Linked DNA regions of Neodiprion lecontei. The main gene of each other region encodes a partner of the protein of the gene in region 2 in a complex. Links are inferred from orthologs where the notes say so. Each region holds a gene or a part of one and is shown on either strand. Other genes may lie near its edges. The genes, in order: actin-related protein 2 and actin-related protein 2/3 complex subunit 2.

Region 1 (11,511 bases), on a different chromosome or scaffold from region 2:
AACATTTGGAGTTTGGAAGCGACGTTTTCCTTGCCTATCCCGAGGTTTGGGAACCAAATTGTTGTGCTCTACCACAATTGTTGTAGCTTGTGCCGTACTACACAATTTATCACTAACATTGGATAATGCTCTTCCGGAAGATAATCGCATCGAGGAAGAAGAAGCGGATGAATTGCCACCTCAAGCACCGCATTGGCAGCCTGGAGAGGGTTTTGCAATACGCGAAGCTCTAATCGAACGGTTATTCATTTAATCAAAATATATGTATATCAAGTTAATTTAATTGTAAAGACTAATTGATTTTAGAATGAATATACTCCAAATATTTAATAAAATTGAATTTAATCTGTACAAACAGTTAACATTAGAATACATATTTTACTCATAACTTATCATTGGTTCTCATTTTATTTTTAAACCCCTCACTTACTCATGAAAATACTGATATGTACGTAATTGTACTAAGCGTCAGTCTTATAGTTACGATAATACTTATGAAAATTTGTCTACGTAAAAATATTCAATACATTATAAATATAGCCAGTAAATAGAACTAAAGTTGCTCTTTTGAACTTTGAAGATCAAAGGTTGTCCCTTTCACGCGCATTTTTTTGCAAGTCTGCACCGGGATTCCTTTTAACATATCAATACAATTTATTTATCAATAACCGGTATAGAGATTTACATAATGATATAGGTTAAAATATGTGTATATAAAAATTATATACACATAAACATACACTATAAAATTCTTTTTCTTCTTCTTCGTTTTATAGCTATACACCCACTACAAAAAATTGCACGCGATTTGTTCCCGTTTTTTAGTTCCTCTACGTGGCGCTAACGTTGTTGTGTTCATAAACTATAAAAATACTCAAGAGCTGCATGCCTATACGAATATCTTGCACAGGCTGAGAAATAAAATCCGAGCATCTTATTGGGGGATACATCGGAAATATTCCGAACATAACCGAACGTCGAATAAGACCGTCTCAAGCTCAGTCTTCGTCAAGACGGTCTTGAATGAAATAAGCTAGCGCTTGAGACCAAATTCTTGACGAAGACCGTCTTGTTTTCCGACTATGAATACATAGCATCTCAAGACGGTCTTGAACGAATAAGACGATCTTCACCAAGACGGTCTTAAGCACCGCCTTGAGACCTGACTATGAATACGGGCCCAAGTGATTTTATTGGTTGGATCTAACGGAATAGGCCAATGAAATTACTCGGTGTCGTAATGTGTCAAACAATGATGTAAAAGGAAAGTGCCCAACGGCAAAGCTGGTAACGTTACCGCCAAAGCGATGAATGGCCGCATGTTCGATGGTGCCAACACATATAAAATTCAAAATTAAAAATGTTCTAATTGTATTATTTTTATTTTAAATATGTTGGAAAATTTTTCGCTTTGTGATTACTGAATACAGATTGTTAACGCTTGGTTTACTTTTCAAAAAATGAGATTCGAACGTAAAATCAGCTGTGAAAGACGTAATTCTGCTCATTGTCAGTTTGAACAGTGATTGTTAGAATGACAAATCCAAATATTTCAGATATTTCCGAAGGTCTTCAGGATTTCGAAAAAGTCCACAGAATACTAAAAAGTGTTGCAAAACTGTCGTAAATTCATTGATTTCACATGATTACAAAGATTTTAAACACTTGTAGAATGGTTCAATATATCTTGAATCAACATGTGGCCAAAGTATAAGTGTCCGTGCGTATTTTTTTTCTTTATTATGAAAGGTTTAAAATTTTGCATAATAAAAATAATATAAATTTAATGTAATATAACTAGTTTATAATTATTTAACGCTGTTTGTTAAAACCAAAAATTTGATACGCTTGACAAGGAGAATAGGATGGAATGGAGTTTAAAATTCTATTGTTGCAAAATGTCAACATCAAGCGATAAATCATGACTGCTAGAAATCTCATTCAATGGGTTTGAGGCAACATCCTTAATGATTTTCAATTGCCTATTTCGAATAGCGAACACATTTACAATTTTTATGCGTACATTATGTACAGTTTTCCACTACATATATATACATACAGAGGTAGTAACTTTTACAATAGGTAAATTTATTTTTGCTGAAGTTCTGATCCAAAATACAAAACTGTCTCGTTTAGCCGAGGCTATGTATGTACAACAATGAAGTGATATCTGGATAATAATGGTAATAATAATAATAAGAATAATATTATCTAAAATATACACTAAAAATGAAAGCATTCCAAACGATCCTACATATCGATATATCTATGTATCTGTTTCGTTTAAATCCTTCTTGACTTAATGAATTTTATAAATGCACCTGGTTAGAACTATTTTTAAGTAGATGTAGAAAGTACGGTTCATAGTGCTAGAATAATTCATACATAATCAATATTTATTACACAATTTGCTACTTCTTGTCAGTGAGTTGTTTAACTCGACAACTGAGACACCTTCTTTGCATTCAGTAGAGAATTTTTCACACTCTATATAAAATCGTTCCAATGATCTTCTAGTAAAAAAAAATTAACGTATGTCTGTATCGCCGTGACCTACAGCATTGAGGTGCCAGAGGAAGACTGAGTTTTTGACAGTTAATTTTTATTTTACGAACAAAAGTGGCTTAGTTGACGCGAAAAGCCCCGTTTAGGCATTGCATCATTTCTAAATCTAGGCGATGAAATTATACTGCTTATCAAATTGACCGTTGATACCATAGAACCAATATCTAATTGCAATAATATGAATGATAATCTTTCATTTGTAACACGTCGTACCCTCGAACTTGGTTCACTCTGTAGAGTCTTATCTTATCGCTATCTGTCATATTTAATAATGACGAAAAAAAAAAATAAAGGTTTGATTTTTTAACAGAAATTTTGAATGTTTAAATGTTATTCAACTTTTCATTGTCGAAATACACAGTTAGTATTAATAATTAATTTTAAACGGTGTGTAATAATATCCAAGCACATTTCCAAAATGGAATTGGATACTTTGTAACCAGTTCCAGTTACAAAAATCCTTCACTTTGTGTCACTTATGAAAATTTTCATTGTATGATCATCTCATACGATTTGGGTTTCGTTTCGTTTTTTATTCTAAACGAATATTTCTTTAACTAGAACGGGCAGTCAATTTGTTTAGTACGCCAAGACCCTTTTCTTCATATTCTTCCCTCGTTATCCAGAACGAGTCACGGTCTTTCATGACTTCTGCCAACACTGCACCACCAATAAACACCATGTCCTTGCGCCTTGGAGGATCTTCGATCCTGATCTTAAATTTCTGAAATAAAAGTTCGACCAATGAATCGACAAAATTTCCATAAAAAACCGTGCAATTGATTGGAGGCATTGACCCAAGCGTATTTGATTCAATTCAACATGGGGAAAAAAAAAATAATAAAAAAATAACATATGTAAAAGAAAATTGAACACGTGATATTGAAAGGTACTGTCAATGAATTTCAAATAGCTTGAAACCAACCGATAATTTGTCAATATCGTTTTTGAGAACTCGTTCAAGGTAGAGTTGCTTCAGTTCACGTTCCAGCCTGGATGGAAGTCCAGGATACATAGTGCTACCCCCGCTGAGAACAATATGCTTGTAAAGTTCACTTCGAATATCAATGTCCGCGGCTTGGATAGTGTTGAAAACAAGTTCCGCTATTCCTTGGCCTTCGACATTGATTAGATGTGGTTGAAAAAGAGCTTCGGGTGCTTCGAACCGTTCTCCGCCAACTTTGATAACTCGGCCATCTGGAAGCTGGAATTTTTCTCACTTAATTTTTTCCGTTTCTATTATTAAAATTCCGAAGCATGTAGAAATAAAGATCAAGAAATATTTCTCACTGTGTAAGGTTCCACAAGGACCGTCGTCTCAAGGGCTAACCTTTGCTCTGTTTCAATATTGTATCCAATATAACACAGCTTCTCTTTCATCATTCTAACAGTCTCAAAATCTGCCGAGTGATTGAATGCGTAGCCTCGCAACAGTAACAGTTTTATTAAATATCTAGTAATATCACGCCCAGCTATATCCAATCTTCGCGTCAGATGCGGCAGGGCGAATTCTTCATAAACCGGGCAAATGTGAGTCACACCGTCTCCAGAGTCCACAACTACTCCGCTGAGCAAACCTTGTGCGTAGAGCGTGAGAACAGCCTGAATGGCGATATATGTGCCATCGAATCCATACTTTTCAAACATTACCTGCATAAATAAAATGAATTTATCAATTATCAACGTTCATGATTACTGGTTTCACTACCATAATTGTCAATTTAAGGAAAACTCCCTCACCTCTATCATCTTCGCACGATTTTTTGTTGGATTCATTGGCGGTTCTGTCAGTAATATTTTGCACTCTTTTGGATTTATATTCATTTTTTCTTTGCCAAACGTGTAATCCCATACGTGGCACATGTCTTCCCAATTCCTGTTAATTTGAGTACGTTGAATTTTGAACTTATCGCTTTTGCAATCACATAGGCAGATCAAACACAAGTCATAGCATCAATCTCTCTCTTTCTATACATGTATATAATATATACATGACAAATATATTTTTTTACAAAGTTATCAGTACTCTAGTTATGAGTATAAGGGATGCTGATAATAGAAAATCATAAAATGTGTAAAGACAAGTTTGCTTTTTATTTTATAATTCTCTTAATTTTTGATTTCCATTTGAAATCCACTACAGAATTGTAAAACTGTTTACAATTAACATAAGGATCGTTGTTTATACTGACTTTGGATTTACGGAACAACAGCGGCTAGTTAATTACAAAGTATTTTGAATATACCAGTAAATATTTAAACAAAATGAAGAACGTTCATTGGAATTTGAATAAACAATTTAAATATCGTAGGTAATTACAGCACTTAATGAAAATTAGAGGTTGCTATTTTTTTTTTTGACGATCAACGATTTTGCCTTTCAAAATGAGAATACTCACAATATAATTTCACGAAAAGATCATGTTTATGCCCAAATAGATAGACTTGTGGTTGACCTGACAGTATCGTTTGAAATGGATTCAGTCAGGGTTGAAGTTCATTTTTGGGAAGGAGTTAATTCAAGTGCAGATAGAAAACTGTTCCGTTTGATAAAGCTCACCTGACAATTCCATTTTCCATAGGGTAACTAACTTCGAGCATTGAACGAAGTTTACTCGCTTCGTCGCCTACCATCAAGTCCTGCAAAAAAGCAATCTCGGCTGTAGGTCTTGCGACTGTTTCGAATTGAACGATTTCTCGTTCATCTGAATAGCGCAGGGAATTTCTTTTGCGTAGTAAAATTGCGTTACCAAACACGTTACATTCTTCAGTTATTTTCATACTACACATCGTATGCAAGTTTTAGGATAATTTTAAAGGAACTCACGTCTGTGCGCTTTGGATAAAAAAACGTGCATGCTGTTAGTTGATTGAATAACAATCATTCCTATACACACATACACATATGTACATACATACTAGCAGTTATCATCAATTGTATTTATTTGCAGAAGTATATTGAATTCACTTCCATTCTATACAGTTTACAGCATTTTACGTAATAGTGCATAGAACAAAATAACGCCATGGAAATTATACTTATTCGTTATGTGCCAAAAAAAAGTTATTACACAACTATAGAATTTTTCCAGGATATTGAATAACCATAACATGTCGTCAAACTTACTGGCATATCCTATGCGAGCGGTAATAACACACAAACATGTATAGACTGATTATGTAATATACGTTTACATATTGAAACAAATTTAACTTGAACATTTTTTTTTTTTTGTTTCAATTTTCGTTTTTAAGTATACGTACATCCCAACTTGACATTCGTCGAAAAAATTAGCAACAATGGATTTTGATTAAATACCACAAAGATGTTGTGCATTTATTGTTGTTGCATTTATATTTAATCTCATACAGCAATCATGGAAATTAGTAAATTAAGAAAACGTAAGTAAATTTCTGCAATTTTATAGCAAATGTGACATCATTTATCATATAGATGAATATCGATTTTAAAACGTCAATAGATACAATGTCAAAATCTGTACATTTTAAATTCGACTGGTGTTTGAGGACACCTTTAAATTTTTTCTTTAGCAGAACATTTTTAATTAGTTCTGTTCATAATTGACAAAGATAGCAGCAATCTATGATTGGTTAAAGGCACACCCAACATAATTCGTTTCTAATTTGTTTCCTTTGATTGTGTAAGGTGGAAGCAACAGATCAACTGACAATATGTATATAAAAGAAAATTTGCGAAATGTTTGAGAGATACGAGAAATGGTTTTAAAATATTTTTAGGACTTGGTAAGATAGAAATTTTCAAGTAGTTTCAAGTATTGACTTTGAGTTTTTAATGATGCTTTTTTTACTGTCGAAGTTGAATCGTGTGAGTTTCCATTGTGTGGGAGGAAAGAATTTGAATAAATTTTGCATCCGTCTCTTTATACATTATGTCTGAAGTATATTTTTTCATCCCGGTTATTTTCCATGGCCAAAAGCAATGTAAGGTAAAAGAACAAAATGACGAGTAACCATTCAAATCACGTTATACAACTGAAATTTGTTATTACTGATATTATTATTCATTAATAAACATCAAATAAACACAAAATGATCAGAATGACACACTGACACATGTAACTGTGCGGAGTAACTTACTCGGACATAAAATTCCTCCTGAAATTTTCAGTTTTTTTAATTAAACTATTCAAAAGTTTCATTTCTTATTTCTTAGACAGACACTGAATTTTAGATGCATAAAAGATATGTAATTAACATAATTATTCTCCAACTTTCAATGTTTTTAAACAATATGAAACTGTAGGACAGAAACAATTTCTTGGATAATATACCTTAACTTCGATGTCTCCAATCTTGTTAACGGCTCTTATAATAGGCCGTCCAACCATCGAGGGAAATATATGTGCTGGAAAATTTGAGCCTGCATATCCGCACTTGACGAACTGAAATAGAAAAAATCTTATTTGTGAGAAATCAAATACAAATGTAATTTTATTTTGAATATCTCACTGTACGTATGCAAAACTGTAGAGATTACAATCAATGAAACGTTACGTAAACAAATTCAGCATTTGTTGAAAACTCAATTTCATTAAACAACCATACTTAGGAACTAATCATGAATTGTAATCTAAGGCGAATGAACAATATTACCCTTAAACCTTGAAAATTTGGCAAGAATCACCACGAGTCAAGAAAAAAAAAATGGACTTATAATATGAAATTTAAATTTTCATTCTCGTACACAAACTACTTTTAATTTTAGTTACGGCACAGATTTTTCTGAATTCCACAAGGGTTTACTAGTAATTCAAATATTTTCACTACGGAGTTTGTCGATATTTAAATGACATGATAAAGACTATGAAACTGAAAAAATCTGTAAGTGAATCAATTACAAAATGATTATGTGAAGCCAGGTGAAGCGAATTTACTGACTGATGATGTGGTCAATAAATGAAAGCAGAGTAGGTACGTTAGTACAATAAAATAAATATATACATGTGCATAACCTTACCCCAGTTCCATTGTCACACACGATTACTTTCCGTCCTTGGCTATCCATTTTAATTAATTTTTGGTTCAACGTTTGACACTTGTCTGTTTGTGCTAGGGTTCTAACGTTGATTTAATGCTTGATTAGTATGACTAATCAGTTAATCAGTCCACAATTTCTACACCCAGAAGGGCGTCACCGGTATACGGAAACAAATGTTTCCAAAGCGTTTTAATACATTGAAATTTAGTTAGAAGTGATACTGTGTGAAGATTTCTTTACCACTTCAAAGCTTATAGAGTGTAGTAAAATTCGATCGAATTAATCAACGACTAATCAGAGATAATATTATTCGAAAATAATGGCCCTCCTGCGGAGCCATTCAATCTGTCAATCGGGAAATACACGGTTCAGTGTCGATGGTTCAGTTTTGCACAAACATAAAGTACTCGTGACGCAGATTGGTAACTACATTGCTGCGTGATCCGGTCACTCGGCCATCATTCGGCAGAGTAAATCCACTAGAAAATCACAGATTGGATTGTTCGATGACGCAAATGCGTTTATACATTTTATGTATTTCAGAGTGGGATATATTTCTTGCATACATGGACAACACTCAAGCAAAGCTCAGCTTAAAAGTTGGCCCAGTTTTTGGGGCAACGTGAGAGGAATTGGCAAGGTGCGATTTAAGCGCCTCTTGCGGTGTAAGCCCGTACAGCGCTTCTCCTCCTTGCCTCTATGATCTTACGATCCACCGTTTGTTACCTTTTTTTCGGATTTAATGTCGCTTGAAGTTAAAACAATTACTCAGTTTTCATTCGCTTAGAATGCATATTTTAGTGTTTACGGAGTATGTTTATAGCTTAGAGCATGTACAGTATGCTCTAAGGTTGATAGCACGGGGCCTTATAGGTTACGATCGCCGCCTTTCTTTTATCGAATCTTATGGTGAAATGTCCCTTTTTCCGTAAGAGGAGCTCAAATCGCATTCAGACAATTCCTGTTACGTTACCTCAAAAGTGCGAACAAGTTTTATCGCAGAGTGTTGTCTCCACGTTCTTACATACAGGTCTGGCAGCTCTGGTGGTGGGGGAAGGGTCCACTAACGTTACTCGTTTTTGCATTTCACGTTCTGACAGTGGTGAGCGCAACAATCTAGGGGTATTTTTTAAAGGTACTAATGACTTGTTTATGCTGAGAACATAACCTCTATTTTCCAAGTATTGCTGTATACGCTGTACATTGTACCCTAGATCGCAAGGACTTTGACGGTCACATTAAGAACTGCAAACACGGGTACTCTTAGCAGAGTCACTCCCACCACCAAAAATTAGCTGGAGACCTGTATGTAAGACCGTGGTTGTCTCTTTTCTACTACTAGGGAAAGCGCAGTCCATGCTCTGTCTATGGTACCGACTAGAAGGTATTAGCGCTGCCACTAACTGCACTAACCATAGGCCCTAAGATATCCATATCCATAACCATATAGTATTTAAAAGAGCCAGCCTCGGGTGATATTTCTTGCAGATTCAGGGGCCAGCTAGGCTAAGTGTACGTCGGTAAAATGCCACACTCGCAGTGTTCGTCGGTATGAAAAGACGGCAGTAAGTCGTACCGGCATAATAGATCATATACTGATCTACTGTGATTGATGATGTCGGCAAGTTACTATTCAATTCTTGTAGCAAACAAATACAGATATAGCTGGCTTTTTCAAAATAGAATACAGTTACTCAATGTAACAAGTTACCGACTATGCCATTATATTATGTCCTGGAAAAGTTCGATTCGATCGAAAATGAAGACAATTAAGGGCCGCTAAAGTGAGAAAATTCCCTACACAATTTTACTATAATTTCTATGAATCAAAGGTAAATTTTGATGAATTAGATATAATCCTTTTAATAACGACGAACAAATGATGAATATATCTGGCAATAATTTGTTAAGGAAGTTATTCCATATAACATGAAATCTTTCTAAGAAACTTTCAATAAAATATTTTATAGAAACATTATGAGAATCTTTTTAAGAACAACAACAATCAAGAAATCTTTTACAAGTTTCTGGCGCGGACATTTTCAACTTGCAGTAACATTTTTTTGAACTATTTTTGATATACTTCTTTCCTTTCATGAAAGATTTCAGAAAGTTTTCTGAAATATTCATTGTTACGTGGGAAGAAACGAATAGATGAATAAATAAAAAACACGTAAAAAGCAAATTCAGCTGCGCACGCACGTATCCATCATATAAATTTCCGCTGTTTATTATCTCCGAGGCGGTTTTATTTCAGTTTTCGTTTAAAAATTTGTATATTCTAATCTTGTTATGTAATGCAAACATGGTAATTGGAATAGATATAAAAAAAAATTGTAGAAACAAAAAAAATTATATAATTGATGGATTTTTTTATATTCAAGCGTCTCACTTATTCGACAAGGTTTTTTTTTAAACGTTTTAGTCCAATTTGAACTTGAACGTTAAATTTATCACACCTTGAGCTGATTTTTTTATTTAATTTCTACCTTCTTCGTTTCATTACAGCTCATCCTGAAGGTCCACTGGGCTTTGAGTGAGGGCCAGAAAAACATCGCATGCTTCGAAGTGCCGGCGCAAATAACGTAATGCCAAATTCATAAATGTAGCAATCGTCCGCATTGTATTCACCGGTAATAATTGTCACACAGTTGTTCGTGTTTTTAATATTACCATTACATTTTTTCTCCATTTATACGAAATGATATTCTTCCAACGTTTTCTTTTGTTTATTTTTTCTTTTTTTTTTGTGTATTTTAATATTGGATAATGGGTAAAAAATTTGCAAATAAGGGAGAGAGGGGAAAAAAAAGATCCCATGAATTTCCACCATGAATTTTCTTTTCTTTTTGTTTTTAAATCTCACCATCACAGATCTATACGTAAGTATAAGTAATTTTTATTACATACCTACGTATAGTATAATTATAAAATGTTATAGATGTGTAAGGAAAGTGGAATAAAAGTTTGTAAAATTTTCGCCCAAGCTCATTACTGCTTAACATTTTAGTCGATAATTGATTGATCATAGATAAAATTGGATACTTATAGATCGAATGCAATGTTAGTGAAATTTTAGGTGAAAAAATTCATTCACCTATAAGTTTGTATAATTTTTGTTCACGATCTGCTTTACCATCGATGGATCGAGATAGATCCAAAGCCAAGTGAGATACGTCGGTAAATTAGCTAGGGTTAGTAAAACAAATTTACTGAGAAGCCCTTGGGGATAAATTTTGAAAAATTTTGATGTACAGAAATTATCCAATTGTTAGATTTTCTGGACTCCGATCTCTGGAATGAATCGAAATATATGAAATCGCGAGTTTAGAGAAGCGGAAAGAAATTTGCGGCTCGAAAATTTTTTTAGAAAATGATTCAACTAAAAGACGACGTAAATTTGACAAACATTTCGTGAGAAATTGGCGCGTTATTCAGTCGAACGTTTTACGCCGATTGCAAGTTTCACAACGAATATATTATCGTTTCTTGGAAACGTTCGTCGCACTTGATAATCTCCTGGTTGGACGCTCTTTGAACTCTTCGGTGCAAGTGCACCCGATTGCCCTCGGTATAAAAAGTTGTCAACTTTTTAAAGTTGTTATTGAACTCTGCGTTTCAGCTCTCGTCACACGAACCGTTCAACAATTTACCCCCTTAGAAACTGTAAAGATTTTTTCATCAAAAAGCTGCACATAAATTTACTTCAGAAGTGCAGCAAAGTTATTTTTGATTCCATACGATTTTTACGATAAGCGTAAAGTTTTTTGTTTGTTTCTGTTCCCTCCCTACATATTTGAAAATGATTATTTCACAACGATTTGGATATTCAAATCGTTTTTTGACAATGTCCAGGCGATTTTTCTTCAATCGATCGAAAAATGAGAGAAACAATTTACCTGAAATTAGAAATCGAATTTTTCAGA
Region 2 (8,543 bases):
AACAAGCTATCAACCAACTAGGTTTTCGATTCGAAAAATCGACAGCTCTGAATTTTAAAATAAGAATAAAAAAAAAAAACAGTGAGAATTAATAATTAGAGGAATGCTATCATTATTATTAGTGGTTAATTATTATTATTATTATTATTATTGCATGTGAATTAAATTAACAGAAAATAATTTGTGTATTCTGTCTTTAAAATAAAGATTATATTTACTCTGACAATCCGTTCTGGCTTTTAAATTTGTACCCATTTCTTCCAAGATCAAAAGTTGTAATTGTAGAAAATTTACACTACTCTTATTATTTATACTGTTTTGCAATAATCTGTACAGCAATTTTTCGTCGATGTAGAATCTTCTTGGGAGCAAATTTTTTAAATCACATTGCTCAATTCCCTTGGCTCGTTTCGGGCAAGTCGCAAATGCACTCCGTGCAAAATAGCATTTACTCTTGCTCTGAATCCACGCGTCGGCTCATTGTACGTCACTTCTTTCTGTTGTCTCTGCAGCTCAGTCTCGGCATCAAATCTTGCTCGTACTCTGTCCAGAGCTGAGTTAAGAAAACGTTATTTTATTAATAAGGCAATGTATGACCAAGTGATTTGACTGTTTTGTTACCTCGTTTCAAGTCCATTTCGTCCATCTCTTCGTTATTTATATTTGTTAATTCCTTCCTGAACCGCCTTGTTATTTTGTTCCTAATATAGTCAGCCTCGATCTCCTGCTTCGTCCGAGGAACTCTAAATCTTATGCAGCAGCACAGTGCTATTATGATAGTTAACAAAACGGAGAGAACCATTCCAGCTAATTGCCATACCCGAAAACCAGCCACGGTTTCGTCTTCGAGCCATTCGTTCACGCCACCGTCGCCACAGTCTCCATGCCTTATCGGCACTTCGTTCGGAGAACAGGGTGGCACGGTCAACGTCGAGGAAGCGGAGCTTGGCATTGTCAAATTTGTTTCTTTGTCCATTGAAAATTCGGGTGAATTTTCTATCTGTTCACATAATACACTGGGTCTTCGTTACATTGTGTCGATATATCTTGACAAAATCTTGGCTGCTTAAATTGGTAAGTGAATAACTATCTGCACGGAAAAACCCCTGGCAGAGGACTTTATTTTCTTTTACAAAAATAAAATTCGTTGAAAAGTGTTCTATTAGTTGGCACAGTTGTTGCACAGAGGCATTTAGTTCAGTGTATTCCGGACGAAAAATCCTATCTCACTGAAAATGTAGAATGGGTTTGTGATCAAGTTGAGTGGCATGGAGGGTGTGGCATGGTTACTAATGAATATTTCCAACTGGCACTCCCTAATTTACTGCTTCGCATGATTCAACCTATTCTTTGATCAAAGATCAATATCTCCGTGACTCCGAGGAGAGAGTTATTATTGCCATTATTAAGTTTATGTCGTCATTGGAAAGTATTAGCAAACTTAAAAAGGGGCTAAATATTATTTGTTTGTTTTGCACTGCATTTCGTTATTTGTAATATTTTTTTTATTACCTTATAATAATAATTATTATATAATAATAATAGGTAAAGATTGGAAATAAAAATAATCATTTGTTACAAAAACAATGTACTATGTTACGCGGGTACGACGCAAAAAACTACGTCGTTTAACGGTATCCACTTCATTTTTTTATTTGTTAAATTTCTTGATTATCTGTTATCGTTTCTTTTCGGTCTGAAGCTTTCTGTTTTTAGATTATGTACTAGTTTCTGTTTTCAATTTCATAATTTTATAATTACAGTAGATAGGATCAGGGTAAACCACAACATTTTTTCCAGTTCCAATATTACCTGGCGTCACTAGTCCGTATTTTCATTACAGAGTTTTCCTAAACAGGAGCTAGAGACGTCAGAGTGTTTGTGCGATACAGGATAGTCATGTAGTTTGATCAAAATGAAACCACTGAAAATAGCGAATTTTCAAACAGTTCCCACACATCGTCACTTTGATCGCAACAACTTGGATGCTACTTTGTCTAAATGACTAGCGAGTAGTGCTGACGTATGAGAAAAGGTTTCGATATGCAAAAAAAAAAAATACCTTCTTTACAATAGTCAGGAACAAGTTTTGCTTTCTGCAATTGGAAAGATCATCGTGATGATGAATATTATTGCAGAATTTTGTAACTCAAATATTCCAACTCAAATGTCCCAAACGTCACGTATTGGACTTCCTATTTTTTTTTGCTCAATTTCATTTTGAATATGAGTCAAGGTATTTAAAATTTCCTCGTTCAAATTCTGATTTTGAAATGCACTATTTCAACTACGTTAAGACTGAACACTTATCATTAACGTTGCTAGTTCGAACTAGGGTGCTGTTGTAAAATTAGTTTTAAATTAAATATGTTCATACATCAGAATAAGTTGGCTCAAACTGAGAAACTAAAAGTTTAGTAAAGGTTATTGTAAATATCTTTAGTTAAATTATTGAAAAAGAAATGCATTGAAAAGTACTTATACACAAAAAATTACTCGAAGTTAGGCATGTTAAATGCAGTAGAAGGTACGATGGCAATAATTAATTAATAGTTAAAGACGAAATTGTAAATATTAACGGATTACACAAACAAAAATTACAAGAATCTACTACGAATTGTTGTACACTCAAACTATCGCCTGTCTAGCCTGTATAGCCAAATACTATAGCATAAACTCGGGCCTGTGGGATGGGAAGCTCTTGGCTTACTAATTTTATTAAACGGGACCGTCGCTTCAAGGACGAATCATCTTTTTGTTTTTGTATTCGTGGACCTTAGATGACGACACAAGGTAATTGAACGTCCCTCGTTCATCTCTGTTTTAATTAGTATTAACATTATCGATTGACTCGTAGGCTCATTCCTTCCTAATGAACGTTCGACCTCTGCAAGAAGACAAAAATAAGTGAAAAAAAAATTAGCAAAGAGGGTCGCAATTACGGATCAGAATTCTAGGTAAACAATTGCTAGCGATTTTTTGTCAAGTACTGTAATTTATACTCACGTTATGGTTTTCTTTTCGATGTTTTTAGGCTCGGGTCTCGCGCGGTTTAGTACTTTGAGGAAATCTGAGGTCTTGGCACGCATTCTTGAGTGTATGTACGCCTTGCTGCATTTGATGTGGTAATGCAGGTAATCTCTGAACATGTGAATCAGGTCGATGGTGTTGTCACGGGCCTCCCGATTCGTGTGTCGCGGGAACAGCACTGCCGTAAAAGGCATATAATAAGTTGTCGAATGATAAGTAACGAGCACTTGGAAAAGCATTTCGAAAAGTACTTACCAAAAGTAATGTAACCCACATTATCGCCGACCGCCGCGTCAGAATCTTGAAGCTCCAACGGTGGCTCCCGATGACTGAAGAGGACTTGTGGCGCGGTGTGACTCGCCCGTCTCCCTTCCTTGAGTTCTTGTAGAAACACTTTGCCGATAACTATGTCATCTTCATCTTTGAACACTGTACTAAATACCACGGTTACTCTGTCACTTTTGGCCTCTACGTACCTGGAAATAGGAGGAAAATGAATTTCTCCTGACTCAACGAACTTGATTTCAACTAAAGCAAAAATGGTGTTACATTTTGTTACGATACTCACAGTGTTTCCTGATCTCGATATTGTATTACTGCTCTTTTATGGCCTTCCTCGCCTGCTTCTTGGAAGTCAAAATATTTTTCAAATACACTTGCAAAACAGTGCCTTTTCAGCAGGCCAACATTTTTGACCAACGCTTCCCAATCCTCGGGCAAGTTCTCTAAATCTATCAGCAACGACACATTGTATCCTTGGAAAGAAGATAAATAATTTGTTATATTCATTCACAGGGCACTGCAAAGCGTAGAATAACGAGTGAGCCTTGATGTACAGGAAAACATCCAAAGAGATAGAAATTAGTCCACAATATTAGTCTTTTCATTTTTTTTTTTTTTTTTTTTTTTTAATCAAAGGCAATATGCCAGAAGATTTTTTGCTAAATCAAAATAAAGGAACAAGAGTAACAATCAGCACCACGGATTTTAAACAAATCATTACTCTGGAAAAATTGCAACTCACCATCCTCTTCGGTAGTAAGTAAAGGGCCATACTCGCGTTTGAGCAATTCGTCAGCACCATGTTCTTGCAACTGCATGTAAAACTTGAGCGAGATACTAATCTGTGTGGAATAAAGATACGGATAAAATGAGAGTGCAGAAATATTTTCATGTGGACTAGTTTGGCAACGATACGATTTAAGTATTCGTCATTGACTGACAGAATACGTACTCTAATTTTGGTTTTGTCGCCTCCAACATTGGAAATGTGGAACAAAACTCCGTCAAAGTCAGCTATTTTGACATCTATCGATTCCGGTTTATGCCTGTAACAAGAAAATGAGCAAATATGTATCGCAGTAACGAAATGCAGCGCTTCGCGTATTAACATGATCCCCTTGTGATTCAAACGGTCATGCGGTAGCATTTAAAGTCTCAACATAATGAACGCTCCAATTTGAAAGGTGTGAAAAATTGTTCTATTTTTGGAGCTTCTTGATATCTGCACATCAGAGTGAAAATGTGGGAGGATGTGGTCAACGAGAGATAAGAGTTTGCAGATCGGTGCGTAAAGTAGGCGAGATGGGAAAGAAAAGTTTTGATCACTTGACAGATTCTGTCAAAGCCAGTAAGTTTAGACAGGGTGAGGTTAGTCTAGGGTCGGGCCTGACTCTCTGTCATTTGCGATTCCTAATCGCAAGTTTCCCCGGGAAGTGAGTTAAAACGGTTTCTCGCAATTAATCAGATAAGGATATATAAAGAGCCGCGGTATATCGAAAGCGAGACACCGCCCCAACCTCAAAGTTAGTTTGATATGGATAAGAAATAAAAAAAAATAATAATAATAATAAAAAAAGGGAATTAGGTGAATGAAACGAATAAACGGTTGGAAAAAAAGTTATTCGTATAATTTTTAACATCGAAACAGACTTACCCAGCCAAGGCATTCTTTATTTTGTTATTTAACGTTTCCTCTATTATCCTATTGTTGATCTCAAGTAAGATCATTATTACGACTAATATTTTTATTATTAGAATATAATATGCTATAATACAATAATTAACAATTATATAGTGCTGTTGTAACCATGAATACCGAATACGACGGCTCTGACTAATTTCTAATCTTTCCACTTCGACTGGGTGTAGTGGGGTTCGGATCCTCAACCGCTCCAGCGGCAGGAAATCCGCGTTAACATTGGAGCTAGGCCGGCCCCTCGAACCCTCCTGCGGGAAAAGAAGTAAACAACAATCAATTCCTCATCTCGACATCCCCCAGGCAGCGCTCCAAAAGTCAAAGATGGCCGACCTCAAGGCGGGTGTTTTGAAATTTAAATACAAAATTTACCAACAATCTCAAACATGGGAGCGTTGACTGAATTAGATCAAGTCATAGATGAAATTACAATATATACATATATTTCACACGCCAGAGGCCTGGCAATGGAATCTAATCAGAAGAGAACGAATATAGCGCAAGAATTTTCAGAAATTTTTTAATTTACATTTGACAGGCGTTTTACTCTGTGAAACATGACAGAATTTATTTAGCGCCTAGATCGAACGAATATAATCACCTTGCACCGATTTCTTTTTATTAGCTTTCGCTACTACTCACAGTCAGTTTGTGCAAAATCCACAAGATGACGTTCCGACAGTTGAACACTTAGAAGATCGCGATACCTCGGCAAAGTGGTTTGTATCATCTAGATCCTCGTTCTTAGTTCGTGTTTCATGGTAGACACCACCAGACCTGAAAATGGCGACTCGTCTGCTAAGGATTAGTTCCGCGCTGCGAACTTATTCGAATAAAACCAGTCACGTCAAGGTAAAATCATCTACCTGTCACTCCTCGCAACGATTCGTCGATGTCTCGCCTTATGCCGAGCACAACATTTTTCGGAAATCTTTTACGGGATTACTCGGCGAGCAAAACCGTTCTCGACAGTCAAATTTTGTTTCTGCTTCAAAGTAGTATCCCCTTACGTAATGTAGCTCACAATTTATTCATATTTACGGCGTCAATTCGCACGAGTATCGCTCAAGTTATTCTAGCTTCCGATCCTGAATCCAATAATACACCGTACCGCCGATGCCACGATCAATAATGGGTGGAAAAGAGATGAGAAATTAACGTTCTTGCCATACCCAGTGTTTATTTTAGAATTCAAAATTGGCAGTCTTCCTTTTTCTGCAAAACCTATAGCTCATCCCCTTTTCAGATCTCCAAGCAATGGAGGTCCACTGCAGCATCGCTTCAGCAGACATTGATCAATCAGCCTGCCACGAAGACCACGACCTTTGAAAATGGCATGCGAGTTGCCAGCGAAGACAGCGGCGCTGCTACGGCAACCGTTGGGCTGTGGATCGACGCCGGAAGTCGGTATGAAGACGACAAGAACAACGGAGTTGCTCACTTCATGGAACACATGGCTTTCAAGGTAGGGTTTTAATGGATAGAACGTCCGTATCGGAAGGAGCATAAACCTGAAGATCAGCATTTTTTGCATCTGTGCAAGCTCCGTGCGCAATTTATTTTTTTAAATATTTAACATCTGTTTCAGGGAACTGCCAAACGCTCCCAGACAGACCTGGAACTGGAAATTGAGAACATGGGAGCTCACTTGAATGCCTACACGAGCAGGGAACAGACTGTGTTCTATGCAAAATGTTTGTCCCAGGACGTGCCAAAGGCGATCGAGATCCTGAGCGATATAATCCAGAACTCTAAGCTAGGCGAGAGCGAGATTGAGAGAGAGAGGGGAGTGATTCTCAGGGAAATGCAGGAGGTGGAGACAAATCTGCAGGAAGTCGTGTTCGATCACTTACACTCAGTCGCCTACCAGGGAACTCCGTTGGGCAGAACCATTCTTGGACCGACTGAAAACATCAAGAGCATCACCAGGAATGACCTTGTTACCTATGTCAAGAATCACTATAAGGCCTCAAGGTATTATTATTGAATATAACTGCATTCGGTTTTCCAAACTACACACGTATTCAAGAATTCTAGTAAACAAAGTTTACTGTTGTGCACAGGTGCGTGCTGGCTGGTGCAGGCGGCGTTGACCATGCGCAGCTCGTTGATCTTGCTAAGAAACACTTCAGTGGTTTGGATAACAAAATCGAGGGAGAAATCCCACTAATTCATCATTGCCGCTACACTGGATCAGAAGTCCGTGTCCGTGACGACAGCATTCCTCTGGCTCATATAGCTATTGCTGTTGAAGGTAGCAAGATCAGATAATTACCTCAGACTTTTCTCCCAAAGTGTGAAAGTCCGTGCGCAATTTTTGATCTCTCTGATCGTGTAATTTAAGGCGCGGGATGGACCGACGCTGACAACATTCCCTTGATGGTCGCCAACACTTTGATGGGTGCTTGGGATCGTAATCAGGGCGGTGGAGCCAACAACGCTAGTAATTTGGCCAAGGCCTCAGCCGAAATGGGACTATGTCACAGCTATCAGAGCTTTAATACCTGCTACAAGGCGAGTTTTCAATTTGCTTAGTTGTTTAACTGAAGCGGAGTGGTGGTTTACTCAAATATTGGTTATTGAAAAAAAATTAGTAATCACCATCAAGCTAGTCTGTAACAAGTGGGATAATATTCTCTTACAGGATACAGGACTGTGGGGAGTTTACTTTGTTTGCGACCCAATGCAGTGCGAACTAATGCTTTACAATATTCAAAACGAATGGATGCGTCTCTGCACTATCGTCACTGAACGCGAAGTTGAACGAGCCAGAAATATCTTGAAGACAAACATGCTCCTTCAATTGGACGGAACTACCGCGATTTGCGAAGACATTGGCAGACAGATGCTGTGTTATAACCGTCGCATACCTTTGCACGAACTTGAGAAGAGGATAGACGTATGTGTCGATGATTATTTACAAATCGATAAATTTTCACTATCATAAAATCGCAAGGGAACAGTTTTGTGTTTATAACATATTCTGCTTTTTGTTCAATTCCACAGAGTGTTACCGCAAAGAACATTCACGACATTGGTATGAAGTACATCTATGATCGTTGTCCCGTCGTCGCAGCTGTTGGCCCAGTTGAAAACCTCCCAGACTACACTCGTATTCGTCAGTCGATGTATTGGCTCCGAGTATAAACGTATGGCCAGAGTCGCGAGTCGCCACTAATAACGTAACTCTTAGCCACATGCATATATATCACAGTAAAATTGTAGAATGCAGTATTGATTGTATCAAGTACGTACGCTAATCATTTCGCGGTGAAGTTGGACTCAAACAAATTGATACAATTTTACATGTTTACTGTGAGGATTAAGCAAAATAGTTTGCTGATGTATGTATGTACATTGTCTTGTTTAAATTTGAATGTCATGTAGTTACAACCCTTCGAGAAATTACGTCGCATTTCGTCATTAACTCGAGACAGTGTATGAATATATTAAATAGATATTTATATAATTGAAATGCTGTTGTCAATGTCACCCAGCTATAAATGACACAATAACGATGAATGTAATCTTCCTC

What was found.
Region 1: actin-related protein 2/3 complex subunit 2 (region 2) and actin-related protein 2 share a complex: the UniProt entries of both Drosophila melanogaster proteins name them as parts of the arp2/3 complex. The link is inferred for Neodiprion lecontei from reciprocal best matches to the Drosophila melanogaster genes Arpc2 and Arp2.

The regions. Positions count from the first base shown.
Region 1 is NC_060266.1:18,355,060-18,366,570, forward strand, and holds actin-related protein 2, read right to left. Parts: upstream 7,983-11,511; 5' UTR 7,613-7,982; coding exon 7,565-7,612; intron 6,990-7,564; coding exon 6,879-6,989; intron 6,703-6,878; coding exon 6,685-6,702; intron 5,702-6,684; coding exon of another isoform or gene 5,693-5,701; intron 5,206-5,692; coding exon 5,126-5,205; intron 4,442-5,125; coding exon 4,306-4,441; intron 4,216-4,305; coding exon 3,856-4,215; intron 3,770-3,855; coding exon 3,491-3,769; intron 3,290-3,490; coding exon 3,119-3,289; 3' UTR 2,068-3,118; downstream 1-2,067. Other genes in the region: putative nuclease HARBI1, read left to right, coding at 1-253. UniProt on the Drosophila melanogaster protein: Functions as ATP-binding component of the Arp2/3 complex which is involved in regulation of actin polymerization and together with an activating nucleation-promoting factor (NPF) mediates the formation of branched actin networks.
Region 2 is NC_060262.1:1,739,640-1,748,182, forward strand, and holds actin-related protein 2/3 complex subunit 2, read right to left. Parts: upstream 5,187-8,543; 5' UTR 5,041-5,186; coding exon 4,967-5,040; intron 4,359-4,966; coding exon 4,265-4,358; intron 4,155-4,264; coding exon 4,055-4,154; intron 3,786-4,054; coding exon 3,599-3,785; intron 3,507-3,598; coding exon 3,286-3,506; intron 3,209-3,285; coding exon 3,007-3,208; intron 2,888-3,006; coding exon 2,860-2,887; 3' UTR 2,759-2,859; downstream 1-2,758. Other genes in the region: transmembrane inner ear expressed protein, read right to left, coding at 378-553, 622-976; mitochondrial-processing peptidase subunit beta, read left to right, coding at 5,792-5,860, 6,255-6,473, 6,597-6,982, 7,072-7,262, 7,353-7,522, 7,653-7,907, 8,015-8,155. UniProt on the Drosophila melanogaster protein: Functions as actin-binding component of the Arp2/3 complex which is involved in regulation of actin polymerization and together with an activating nucleation-promoting factor (NPF) mediates the formation of branched actin networks.